Linked DNA regions of Caenorhabditis elegans. The protein of the gene in region 1 interacts with the protein of each later gene in a pairwise test. Each region holds a gene or a part of one and is shown in the gene's direction. Other genes may lie near its edges.

What was found.
Region 2: the proteins of tni-1 (region 1) and R02F11.1 interact in a two-hybrid assay, tested with the Caenorhabditis elegans proteins (one large-scale study listed by BioGRID).

Annotation. Positions count from the first base shown.
Region 1 is NC_003284.9:11,374,059-11,380,708, reverse strand, and holds tni-1 (Troponin I 1), read left to right. Parts: upstream 1-3,238; 5' UTR 3,239-3,247; coding exon 3,248-3,307; intron 3,308-3,353; coding exon 3,354-3,479; intron 3,480-3,523; coding exon 3,524-3,650; intron 3,651-3,696; coding exon 3,697-3,841; intron 3,842-3,924; coding exon 3,925-4,072; intron 4,073-4,401; coding exon 4,402-4,548; 3' UTR 4,549-4,822; downstream 4,823-6,650. Other genes in the region: F42E11.3 (Brp/Blh family beta-carotene 15,15'-monooxygenase), read left to right, coding at 5,100-5,199, 5,243-5,376, 5,421-5,590, 5,637-5,715, 5,764-5,910, 5,964-6,110. UniProt on the Caenorhabditis elegans protein: Troponin I is the inhibitory subunit of troponin, the thin filament regulatory complex which confers calcium-sensitivity to muscle actomyosin ATPase activity.
Region 2 is NC_003283.11:4,797,806-4,804,455, forward strand, and holds R02F11.1 (CC domain-containing protein), read left to right. Parts: upstream 1-3,288; 5' UTR 3,289-3,342; coding exon 3,343-3,424; intron 3,425-3,468; coding exon 3,469-3,636; intron 3,637-4,324; coding exon 4,325-4,605; 3' UTR 4,606-4,879; downstream 4,880-6,650. Other genes in the region: R02F11.3 (Cation efflux protein cytoplasmic domain-containing protein), read right to left, coding at 5,115-5,276, 5,462-5,880, 6,247-6,634.

The DNA of each region.
Region 1 (6,650 bases):
AAACTGTTCCACTTGATTAAGCACAATACAACCAATAAGAACATTTTTTGTTCATTCAACAATTTCAATTTCTTTCCAATTTCCAGGTTACGTAATAATCATCGTGCATCTGTTTTTAGCTCCCCAGCAAACCAAACACGTGTCTCGTCTTCCATGTGTCTTAGATTCTTACAAGGCAATAAGATACTTCCACATGTCATACATATTCGTTGCCCCTCGCCACTAGTTCCCCATCTCCCCAGAGCTAACAAAAATCGAGATTTGCAATTCGTTTTAGTTTTTACTAGTAGTATAAATTCGAAATTTCTTGATATTGAGAATTTTAGAAAATCTTAGTAGTCTGTTCATCATAAAAAATCTAATCATTTGCAGCATTGAGGTTTCGGTTTCACCATATTCACCTTGTGTGAAAGTCGTTTTCAAAAAGTCGATTCCGTGATGTTTGCGTATATCGTATTGTCCCTATTAGTATTGTATGCAATTAAAATTTTTCAATTTCTCATTTTGAGTGCAAGTCTAATAGGGAAAATGTGGTAAGTAACAAAACATAGTGGTTGCATCCATATCGTTGAGTTTTATGTCGACTCTCAAAATTAGTAATGAAATATATTAGCTAATTGCCATATTAAGCCGGTTAATAAAATAATTTAAACTATATTTTGGAAAGAGAAAAAAATTGATATTTTCATTTTTAAGTCATGAGTTAATTCGAAGAATTTTCTCACTGGAACTATTCCACATTTTATTCCGTCAATATAGCAACGGTGGGGAAATCGAAAGATCACTAATACAAGTTTTGTTACATGTAAAACTTTTACACGTTTTTAATGAATTCAAATGAATTGTTCATTGATTCAATATTCTTCTCACATATCAACAGTTTTTATTTTCACCTCCCAGTTTTTTCAAATTTAATAGACATAGATAAAAAGTTCGGCCTTTTTCTATCTGTGTTTTCCATTGACACATTTGATCAGGAAGCTAATACAACATATGGGTGGGTGGGCAGAGAGGTCCGCCACGTTTTATTTTTGCTGTTACTGCGTCGAATTGAAGGGCACATCAAAATGAGTATTACAACACGATCCACGGAGCTTAGCGTTGCTCTTCTCGAAACAAATGATCAGAGGAGTAGAAGACACAACGCGATTCCAGGAGAGCACTGAAATCCCATCAAAACGTTGCCCGAGCTCTGATGTCTTTAATGTCCAGCTCCAGGCCGCCACACATTGTACTATTCGGCGAGCCAGCCAACTGACACCAGCCGTGTGTCCTGTCTTTTGCTCTCCTGCCACCTCCTCCAGTTTTTTGATGCTACTTCAATACATTCTGTCTGATCGCAGCCAAGCACTCGCAAATCAAATCTCAGCAACCCCCGCAATGCGACGGCACATCGAAAGCTATTCCCATTCTTCATTCCAGAATCTTCTTATTTCTTTTTCTTCCCCTTTCCTTCTTCTTCGTCATCTTATGCTTCTTCTTTCTATCCCTTTTCCCATTTATGTCTTCTAGTTCAACTCATTTCGTTTTCAGCCCATTCAACTGTGCTTCTTCTGCATATTTTAATTTCAAAACTTACTTTCAGAGTTTTGTTTCTTTTCCATTACAAAAACTCGAGACTTGTCTGGAATGAGAATCAAATCATATACTTTTTAATAAATATATTTTTGCTCACTCAATCTATGATGAAAAAAGAAACTACTTCAACCAAAACTGAGTATTCAGTATTCTCTCCCCTTTTCCTGCCTCTAGCTACATAATAAGACCTTCATTAAATTTTTATTTGTGCTCACTTCTCGTTTTGAAGTCTTTCTATTCACTCACATCAGTCGTCGTTTTTCACGCACTACTACTTCAAATTTGTATGTTTTGAGCAACGTAAAATTGTTTCTACCACCAATTCTTAGATCCGAAAATTTCATTTTTAGTATTATAATTTGATTACTATTCGCTGTCAGATTCATGACCGAGGCTAACAAAACACGCAATGAAACGCCTTTCAAGAAAGCCATTACACGATAATTACCGCTTAAGCTGTCAGTTTCGGAAGCCCTCGCGAAAAAATGGTGTATGCTCATTTTGTTCTCAGAGCTTCTGCAGAGCACTTCACTCACTTCGAATTTTCCTTTCAACTACAATTATTGTCCTTCTATCCACCACCTTTCCTTGCTTCCTAACAACATCCGCTCAACTAACAACTCTCACCTTCACGTTTTTGGTTTCAAAAACTAAAACACTCGCACTGAATCAGTTGGTGATGGCCATTCCACCATAAATTCATTGTTTAATTTTAACTTCCCCTATAGCTTCCATTACCTTTTTTCACCTAACATGTCTTTGCGCTTCTAACTTCGAAAATCTTATGTTTTCCGATATTATTTTCTCCCTCTGTTCACTTCGCTCGCACTTGCACTGTCCCAATTTAAACATCACCACTCGCACATAACCACGTTAAAAATTGTAATGTTTGTTATTTGTAAAATTTTGCAGATTGAAATTTTCAGAATGTATTTAAAATTTCAAAGTACTGCGATAGGCGTACAGGTTATTGTAATATACTCCTACAGTGGTTCGAACAATACATTACAACTAAACTGACAAAGTGTTTATTGGAGCACCAAAATTGGTTCATTACCAACAATAACAATTTTGAAACCATGTCTGAAATATATGACGATCATGTACCTAATGTGTTTTTTTTCTGAAAAACAGTCATAAATTTGGTAATCAATTGCTCCAGAATCTCTTGGCTGAATACAAGGTAACCAACACAATGTTGTCGTACTTCTTCACTTCTTACATCAACCTGCCAAAGTGAGCGCATGCATTTCAGTCATTTTTTATCTTTTTAATATACACTTACTTTCAAATTTTTGACTAGAAAGTTAGTTGGATCTGCACTAATGTTTCAATCGCTTAATAACACACCCATCACTAAGTCTTCCTTTATTTATTTTTTTTTCGAACAACATTCACTGAGCTGATAAAAATACCGTTTGTGTGCGTATCGTTCCAGCAAACCTCACACCCAAACACTTTAGACTCATTCCGTTTCATGGTTTTGCCTCTTCTATCAATCTGTTTTCAATTTGAATCCCCTTTCTCACGTTTACACACACCCTTGAATACCTTCACACCCACCGTACCTCTAACGCTTTCCACCAATTGCTTGGCACATCCCATAGTAGTCGTAACCTTTGTTTTCTGTAAATGTGCTTCTAATCAATTTGCATTTAAGGACTTGAAAATGAGCCAAATTGATGAGAACATTCGCTACGGCGGAGCTGCCAACGAAACCGATGGCGAGGTAAACAAAACAAAGTCATTTGTGTTTTTGAAACGATATTGTTCAGGATGCCCAACGAAAAGCCCAAGAACGCGAAGCCAAAAAGGCCGAGGTGCGCAAGCGCCTTGAAGAAGCAGGACAAAAGAAACAGAAGAAAGGATTTTTGACTCCAGAAAGAAAGAAGAAGCTCCGCGTAAGAGAACATTTGACTTTCAACACTTACAGATTCATTTTCAGAAGCTTCTTATGAACAAGGCTGCTGAGGATCTTAAGACACAGCAATTGCGGAAGGAACAAGAAAGAGTCAAGGTCCTTGCTGAAAGAACCGTTGCTCTTCCAAATGTTGACAGCATTGATGATCACGGTTCGTTCAGTGCTTTAGGCAACAAACAAAATTGTGTATATTTCAGCTAAGCTCGAGGCTATCTACAATGATTTGTTCTCCCGCCTCTGCAACTTGGAGGAAGAGAAATATGATATCAACCACATCACCACAGAGACTGAAACTACAATTAATCAACTCAACATTGAGGTTAACGATCTTCGTGGAAAATTGTATGTCTTTAAATAAACCCAGCAGTGCTAGTGTGTTTTCACCTGCTCCAATTCCGCATGACATGAGAAAAAACTATTTTCAGCGTAAAACCATCATTGAAGAAGGTGTCCAAGTATGACAACAAGTTCAAGAAGATGGCTGAAGCCAAGAAGGAAGATGGAAGCAAGAACTTGAGAAATAATCTCAAGACAGTAAAGAAAGAGAGCGTCTTCACTCAAATTGCCAACAAGGTAAGTTTGTAATAAGTTTAACTGGAATATAAAACTAGTTTTTACTTGAACTGTCAAGAAAAACATGTTAACAAAAAGTAGCCTGCCAGAAAAATTTCTAGAACACATATTTTGTGTTCACAATATTGAAAACTGGCTGAAACAATACATCAATATAGAACATTAAATACAATGTTTAAAATTGACATTTAGAATCCAAAAAACTCAAAATAATAAATTATATCAATTTGTAGTACTCAGAAACATATACTTATTTTATCAACATAACTTTAAAAATTGTTTTCAAATTGATATTTGATGAATTGAATTTACAATAATCCACATTTCAGAAGAAATCTGACAAGCCAGAATGGTCCAAGAAGAAGGAAGAGAAGAAGGAAGAAAGCGCCCCAGAACCAGTTATTGAGCCAGTTGAGGAAGAAGAAACTGCTGCTTCTGAGGGAGAAGAAGAAGAAGAAGAAGCCGACGAGGAATAAATACCGGCATTGTTGTCATTATCTTGTTCACTGAATCTAACTAATCATTCTCGCGTATAATACATTTCATCAATTCAATTTATGTGCCTTTTGAGTTTGAGTATTCTTAAAATTTTGTGCATGTAAAAGGTATTTGGCCCTTTTTTATAAATCTTCATTTGTTTTGTTCTGCCGTTATACTGTTTCAAAATTTCCAGTATACATTCTTTGTATTCTTTCAGTAATATTCCATCTTATTCTTTTCTGCATATTCGCAATAAATGAAGTTATCACCAACCCGGAATTACAGAGCAAAACTCGAAAGCAGCACAGAAAGGCATTTCTATTTGTGTGAATTATCCTAACGATTTTCAGCTGTCAAACTAACAAATGTAAATGAAACAGGGAATAAGGCAAAAACACCTGGAAACGCAAATCGCCGCCTTCTCCGACGTCACCAAGTGTAACCGGGTTGAGACGAAATAAAAGGAGCTCGATAAGCCATTTTGATTCTGAGTTAAACTCGAGATTGGTTTAATATGGAAAGAGTTCAATTTTCATCCTACGATGAAATGCTCCACTACAACTCACGAGTTGCGAATCAATTCCCAGGAGTTGATTTGAACGTTTTTCGGAAGATTCACTATCTGGAACTTCTGTCACAAATGTTTGGTATGTTAGTTCACAATTTTTTTAATACATTTATAGTTTTTAGGATTCCTATTTTACACTTTCTACCTGATAATTTTTCTGGTTCACGGAAAAACATTCTTCATCTCCGAGCACACATTCAAAGCGATCTTCATTATTCAAATGATCACTTTCGGCGCGGCACTGGTCATTCAGAAGGTATTCAATTTTAGTTTTAAAACTGTAGCATCACACAATTTCAGTTTTCCTTTATGGTCAACTCGGTAGAATATGTTACGTACTCAACATTTCCATTTATTCCAAAGTTTGTGATCTCCATTTGTGATCGGCTAGTAACGGCTCAAATGCCTTTGTATTGGTTTGTTGTCAGTGCTTTTCTCATAATTCAAATTGCCCAATTCGCTAATCAAAAGTATGTGTTTCTGTCAAAACAACATTCTAATAAATACATTTTTCAGTCCACGCGGAATTAAACTGGCACATACCTACTTGATACCTTACGGAATAATCATTACCCTCATTTCCTTCATTACCCCGGTAATATTTTCAAGAGAAGCTCAGAAACTAGGAAATCGTTGTTTTCAGGATCATATGAAACTTTTTATGATCGTCGTCTGCTTTCTAATCTGGTGGATTTATCGAAAGCATATGATTGCCCAGTTGTACAGCCAAGACATGACCGCCCGCGACGTTTTGAATATGCGCCGGATGAACATCTGGCTGTCCAGTCAGGTGAGTCTCATTAAAACTCAATGTGTTATATCAATAAATTGGATTTATTACAGATTTTCGGGACACTGATCTTCCATCTGCTCGACTTAGGAATGATGCTGGCTATCAAGTCGTCTGTGACTGACACTGGAAGACAAACCTATTACGGATTCTATAAGAATGAAGTAACAAACCATTCAACAAACGATAAAAATCAATGAATAAATTTTAGGTGTTTAAAGTGGTCACGTGGATTGCCACGTATGCAAATGCATTCATTTTTGCCTGGTCAACAATCAATTTCATCAAAACCGACGCTTCTAAGGAGCCGACCACACTTCCAGTTTTTGTTAATGGTTCGCTTCCAATGGATTCACTCTCGCGTCGCCCGTCTGCAATCTCTGCGTTTTCCATGAACAACGTGGCACCGATCACCCCACGTGGATCAAATATGTTGCATATTTAACGTTCATCCATTTATTAATATGTTTTAATCAAACAATAGATTTTAATAAAAACACAATTTTGTTTCATTCAGTACAAGTATGACAAAACCACCATCAACTTGATAGATAAATAGTAAACAAGGAATGGATCGAGCTGAGATAGGCAGATTGGATTTTGGGAAGCTGGTGGACATGGAGGATGGGATAGAAGGAATAAAAGCAATAAGCTCTGGTTCTACAGAAAACGTCGAGAACAATTTGAAAAGTGGACTTAAATGTTAAGGAAAGTGGGAAGGAGGATGAATAACCGCATTT
Region 2 (6,650 bases), on another chromosome or scaffold:
TTTTTTTTTCGAAAGAAAAGTTCTTGAAAAACTTCCAAAATATGTTACCCTCTAATTAGACGCCAATAAATTATTGTTTTACTTGAACCAGTTTTAGGTGTCTATTAATTAGTGAAAAATTTCAATGAAAAAATATCATATCGACCTTTTTCTAGTTCAAAGTGCTCTTCTGTAGCTAAATTTTTCGCACTGACCAAATTAAAAATTTCTCTTTCAAATAATTTTTTCAGAAATGCGTTAAATGCATTCTATGTGACTAATGTTTTTTTTGAGGTTAAATATTGACTGATTGCTGGTTATCAAAACTTTAAAAATGTCTAACTAGCCGGTTGAAGTTATCGGGCTCAAAAAGTCCAAGACTCTAGTCTGCACACCGGCACTTGTTCTAACAAAAACCTTACAAAAAAATCGTGTAACTTATACAAATGAGCTTTTTCCTCATTTCCGTGGAAGAAAATTTCCGGATTCCCTTTTGTAATTTCTTTATGTGTACACTTTTCCCCGCATTCATCGAATCATAACCAAAATGTTTGCTGCGGCGGGCGGCAGCGTCGGTCAAAGAATGGCATTTCGGCGGCGGCAACGGAATCATCGGATCTCATGCAAAACACTCGGGTGAGGCTCATTCTTTCGCAGAAGTTGGCTGATGATGATGAGGATGATAATGATGATGATCCGTGTTTGCTCTGAACGACTGGGGAGACATGCGAGAGAGAGTCGCCCTTTAGAGAAGCAGGATCACTTGAGCACACATACAAAATTCCCGAGAGTTTATCACTGATAAATGGACGGGCGGGGGGAAAAGAGTGGACTGTCCGAAATTTGTGCGCAGAGAAACATTTATGTGCACTCTCTCTCTCTCTCTCTCTCTCTCTCTCTCAAAAGTTTGTATGCAGAGCTTGGTAGTACAAGCCTGTCGACACAATCGGAATGTTGAAATTTTTCGAAAAATCGAACAGTGATAAGGGATATAGGATAAGAGTGTAGGGAGAGGAGCGTGCTTCTACTATTTTGGGACAAAGTCGGAACTTCACTGCTCTCCAGATGTTCAATGTTTATCCAGGAACACTAAAAATAAAACTTGTTCGAGTGGGTAGAAAAGTTGAAGTTCCTGATAGACATATCGCAAATTACCTGAGGAAAGAAATCCTCCCAATTTCCAGGCAAAAAAAATCGTTTAAAATGTCCGAACTGCCATATTTTCCCTATTATACATACTTGTAGAGAAATAGTTTGAAATCGCAATTAAAAAAATGAAACTGTAGATTATCCTGTTTACCTGCGTGCCTACCAGGGGTGTGCGGCAAATTTACCGAATTTGCCGAATTTGCCGAGCACGGGAAATTTCAAAAAAGTAGATTTGCCAAATTTGCCGAGCTCGGCAAATTTCAAAATTTGTCGCACACGTCAAAAATTTGACAGTACAATTTTGACTAAAACTATTGATTTTTTCGCCAAAAAATTACAAAATTGAGTTATTTAGATGCATAAGCAAACATACTACACGGAACTTATTCGGAATCCAGGTGATTGTTCAGAATTCAGTAGTTTTGGTGCTCCAAAAAGCATCAATGAGTATTAATTTTTTGGAGTTTGTTGAGCACGGCTAATTTGCCGTAGGTAGGCACTTTGATGCCTCGGCGTCCCATATGCAGAACAAGCTCAAAACAGACACAACTCTGGAATATGTACGGCAATTAAAACTGAGCTTTTTCTGCGTATCTAAAGGTCAGACACAGCAGTCCAGCTCCAATTTAAGCCTTGTTCGAGCCGGGGACTGTGACCAATAGTCCAGTCGTGGATTGCTCTACTTCCCACTTAAGGCTGGATGGACCTAGTGGGAGGTAGGACTTGAACTGGTGACCTCTAGATTGCTGGCGGCCACCACTGGTTCATTGTGTCCGGACCTCGATCGCGATGTCTCCACTGAGACATTATGCGTACATCTTAAGTTGTTCGAAGACTCTCGCATGACTTCCATGTTTCTTGTTCCAATAATTCCCAGACGTCACAAAGCATATTCCACGTGTTTTTTTTAAACCGCGTTTGGACGAGTGTTGGGAAAAAAAGAGAGTTGTGCTCTCATAATGGAGGTGTATTATGTGCTCACTTTCTCTCTGAGAAGTTGCCTCTTCAAGGATGATGGCTTCCCGTCTCCGGCCGTGGTCTACACCACCCGCGTGTGTTGCATCCCAAAACCGGATACTCTTACCTGCCGGTCAGTTGGCCCGGCAGCTCTCGCTGTCTCTCTGACGCCACCGCTGCCACTCGAGTGCACCGAGTATAAAGAGCACAGTGCTCCGACACTTTAGAGTCAAATTTTCTTCCGATGGCAAATCGGCTACTCACACATCAGGAACAGATTTTGCTCTGTTCTCTGTTTTTAAGATTTTCTAGACACCGTAGTTTCCCTATTAGACATGCAACCCTTGCTCTATTTTGTTATATCTCTGTTCCCTTCGGTTCTATCAAAAAACTGTCATTAACTGACAAAACACGTGCAAAATATTTATCTACAGTTAGACAGTAAACGCCGCTTAAGTAGATCAATGAGTTTCATGTCCAATATGCTAAATACGGTAGGAATCATTTTTTCAACTATTCTAATTTTTCTTGTAGCATTAAAAAAACTATCAACTAACATCCTAACTACTATTTAAGTATCAAGCATTGCAAAAATTTAAAGAAGCAAAAGGCTCTTACTATTAGAAAGCTATATGTTTTCCATTGACCACAGACTCCGGGCTTTTCATAAAAACCTTAGCAATCCGAATATAATTGGAAAGTTTCTATATATGCTTCAACCGTGATAAGATAAGTTGAACGACATTTTGACAAGCGCGCGCTCACAATCTTTTGGTGTATGTGTGTGTGTGTGTGTGGGGTCACTCAAGTATTTGAACATCAATCGTCCACTTCATTTTACAAACACATAGACTGGACTGAGCCCGATGGGGGAAATGAGAGAGTTTCGTGCCGCGCGCAAAGAGCACGTCGCCGCGCGGAGGCGCCAGAGTCTAAGCTAACACAGAAAGTCGGAGGGAGACGAAAAAGAGAAGACGGTCAGTTAGTGTCCCCTCCCCTCTCTCCTCACTGTTACGTACAAATGACCATTTAGTCTTGCTGCTCCATCGGGCTTCTCCTTGAGAACAAATCTTCAGATTTATTTTTGAGTTACCTTACTCTACCTACTAATTTTACAGTTTTACTTACATATTACTCTTTATTATTTATCTGAATCTTTATTAGTTTCCTGATATAATATTATTATTATTATTAAAATTTCAGGCCAGCGCAGGGTCAGGTGTTCCTACTTGTCTTAAAACCTTCAAATAACTCATTATGAAGCAACTCGCCATCTCCTTCTGCATTATCCTCCCCCTCGCCTGCTTCTGGGTACTGAACGCAGAAGACGCGAAAGAAGGTATGTTGTCACTCACTCTTCAACTCCTAAAATCCGACTTTCAGCTCCAGAAATTCGTGAAGCCAACTCCACAGTATTCCGTCAGAAGAGGCAGTTTGGATGCCCATCCAATTGCTATTCCTCATGCAGTTCCTCGTCCCAGTGCCAGAGATATTCTGTCGCATCTGTCTGTGTCCAAGGATGCTGTTGCCCAGGAAACAATAACCTTGATAGTAAGTTTTTTTAATATGAAGGTTGTGTAGGAAGTTGAAAAATTGCTTTTTTTCATAAATCAGAGATGTTAAAGAAAACGTCGCAATTATTAAAAACTAGGAGCGGGGATAGCTCAGTCGGTAGTATTGATAATTAGCAATCTAGAGGTCACGAGTTCAAGTCCTGGCTTCCCTAGGTTCAGTGTACCCAGATCCGTTCATATCGCTTAAGTAACGCATCGTCCTTTAACCCTTTAGTAAGGAATATGAGATAAAAGTTGAATGCTGACACCTTTAAAATTTAGATCTCCCTTAGTTCAAACCTCAAACCTTATCAAAATCATATCAAGAGATATCAAGAATCCAGTCACCGTTCCAATTTCTCAAGTGTCCCCGCCGTTCCCTTCCGGTTCGAGCAAACACACACACTGATTACCTAATGATTGCTACAACTCCCGGGGAGACGCTGCTTAGTCCCTTTTGCGGTGATGGAGACACCTTCTTATACGGCTCAACATAAATACAAAATATTTGCGAAGTTTCGCGGGGTGTTTGCGTTTGCTCGGTGCGTGCTGCTGTGCTCTGTGTCTCACGAAGTCGGCGCGGTTTGGACAACACGCACGAACCTATCTTTTTCTATCTTTAGCTCGTATCAGAACGAGTTCAAATATGGGTGTGGAAAGTCGTCTAATTCCAACAAAAATTTCAGCCGCCTGCTCCGGAGGACCAGCCGTCGCCGCCTGCCTCGGAGGACTCTGCGGACAAGGATTCTTCTGCTCGAGCAACAACTACTGCTGCAGATGCCAATCCGGAAACAGCACGGGACCATGTGTAAACCAGGTCTGCCCAACCGGATTCATGTGCAACACCAACAACTACTGTTGCCCACTCGGATCCGGAGGAGTCCTCGGATCATGTGTCAACGGAGTCTGCCCAACTGGATACACCTGTGGAGCTGGAAACTTGTGCTATTTGAGCAGTGGAAAGTAAAAAAATGGAATTCAATTTTTCCCTTTTTTCATGCGACAAATTGCCCCCAGTCTTTCTATATTTTTATATATTTTTTTAATATATTGTACTTTCCTTCTCCGTTCTCTGACTCTCTGCTCCTTTTAAATTATTCTAATCTATTTGAAACGAATCGTTCCCACCACCAAGACAACAACATCAACAACAAACGAAATCCCAAAAAAATATTTGAATTGTTTTTAAATTTAATTTGTTTATTTATTATTTTATTTTAATTAATGAAATAAAAAAAGAAACATTTGACACTCTACGACGATATGTGAGAAAAAATATTATAGTTTGCAAATCAAAATTTTCAAAATTTCAAACAAAAAAAAGTATAGTTAATTATGCGAAAAAAAAACATTGAGAGATGCTGATGATTTCTGTCATGAAACCGGAAAAATATGAAATAAAACTTAAAGTAGGGGGGCACTGGGAAGAAGAAAAAAACAAAATCATAATGCAAATGTGCTCTAATAATAACTAATTCAAACAATTTTATGCTCGTCGTGAGGATGATGATCATAATCATAGTCTGTATGAACAAATGCACGTTCAACTTCCGGCAAGCTTTCGATGTTTGATTGGAGGGTCTCACTGATGTCATGGGATTCTTTGAGGATCATATTCTCGTCGAGCACAATGTGCACCTGGAAATATTACAGATTTTAGAGTAGCACAATAATTCAGTTGTAAGCTCAGCCTCTTCAGAAATGTGCGATACGGGCTTATGTTAGGCCTAGGTGTAGGTTTAGGCCTAGGCTTAGGCTTGGGCTTAGGCTCAGGCTTAGGTTCAGGCTTAGGCTTGAAGAATCCAGAGAAAAAATATTCTTACCTCAACTAAAAACTTGCTTCCAAAATGGTACACATAAACCGTATCAATATGTGAAATCCGAGCATCATGATCCAAGCAGACTTTGATGATCCTATTAATGAACTCTGGCTCTGCAGTTTTACCCGACAGCTTTGCCAAATGCTCCCGTCCAGTTTGCACCCAGGTATACAAAATGTACATAGAAACCACAATAGCACCGGCTGGGTCAAAGTAGTACGAGTACTTGGTGCCGAGCCAGGCACAGATCAGGGCGACCGTGTTGGAGATGCAATCGTTGCGATGGTCCATTGCGAGCACGTTGACCGATGGTTCCTTGTATCGTTTACAGAATAGGTAGAGGGACAGCTTGACGAGAACTGTTGACACCATGATGACTACAGAGGTGATGGTGACGTTGAGCTTGGGTTCTTCACCGATTCCTGGAAATTTTTAGGATTGTAACTTAAAATCCATTGCTGAGGGAGGGGAGCATAGATTGAAGGATCAGGGAAGGATCAGAGGTAGAGCTAGTACATCCTGTAGGAAAACTTTGAATTCACTTTTTTAAAAATTTTATAAGTTCATCACTTTGTGGGCGAATATATTGAAGATTTCCTCCAAAACTGAGAACCGCAAGACTAATCAGCTCAGTTTCCAACCAATCAGACAAAATGAGTTCGAAGACGCTGATTGGTTCGAAAATTAGAAGGGCTCCTAGGTTTGGAGCAATTTCAAACAATGTTTTTAATCAGAATTTCAGACTATTTTGAGTCTTTCCATGCAAAATTCAATTCAGCATTTCTTACCATAAAGATGGAATTGAATTCCATCATGAATTCCTCTCACCGACGCAATGATCAATTGAATCGACGCCATTCCCATGATCACACTGATCAAAATCAAGGACAATGGCTCCAACCTGGTCCTTCCTCTCGGATACAGATAAGGATCCCTTTTCTTGATCATTCTTTCTGAAAGTGAAATGACAAGTCCTGAAGTGATATCTACCACAGAATCAACCATCGATGAAATGATCGACATGGATCCTGAGAGAACGGATGCGACGACTTTTGCAATCATCAGAAGGAAGTTCACTGCTAATGTGATGTTGGCCATTCTCGCGGCCGTATTTGATTCGTCGTCTTTTTTCTCGTCAACTGATTTTTCTTCGGTGTCTGTGCGTTCCATTGGTTTCTGAAATATTTAGAGA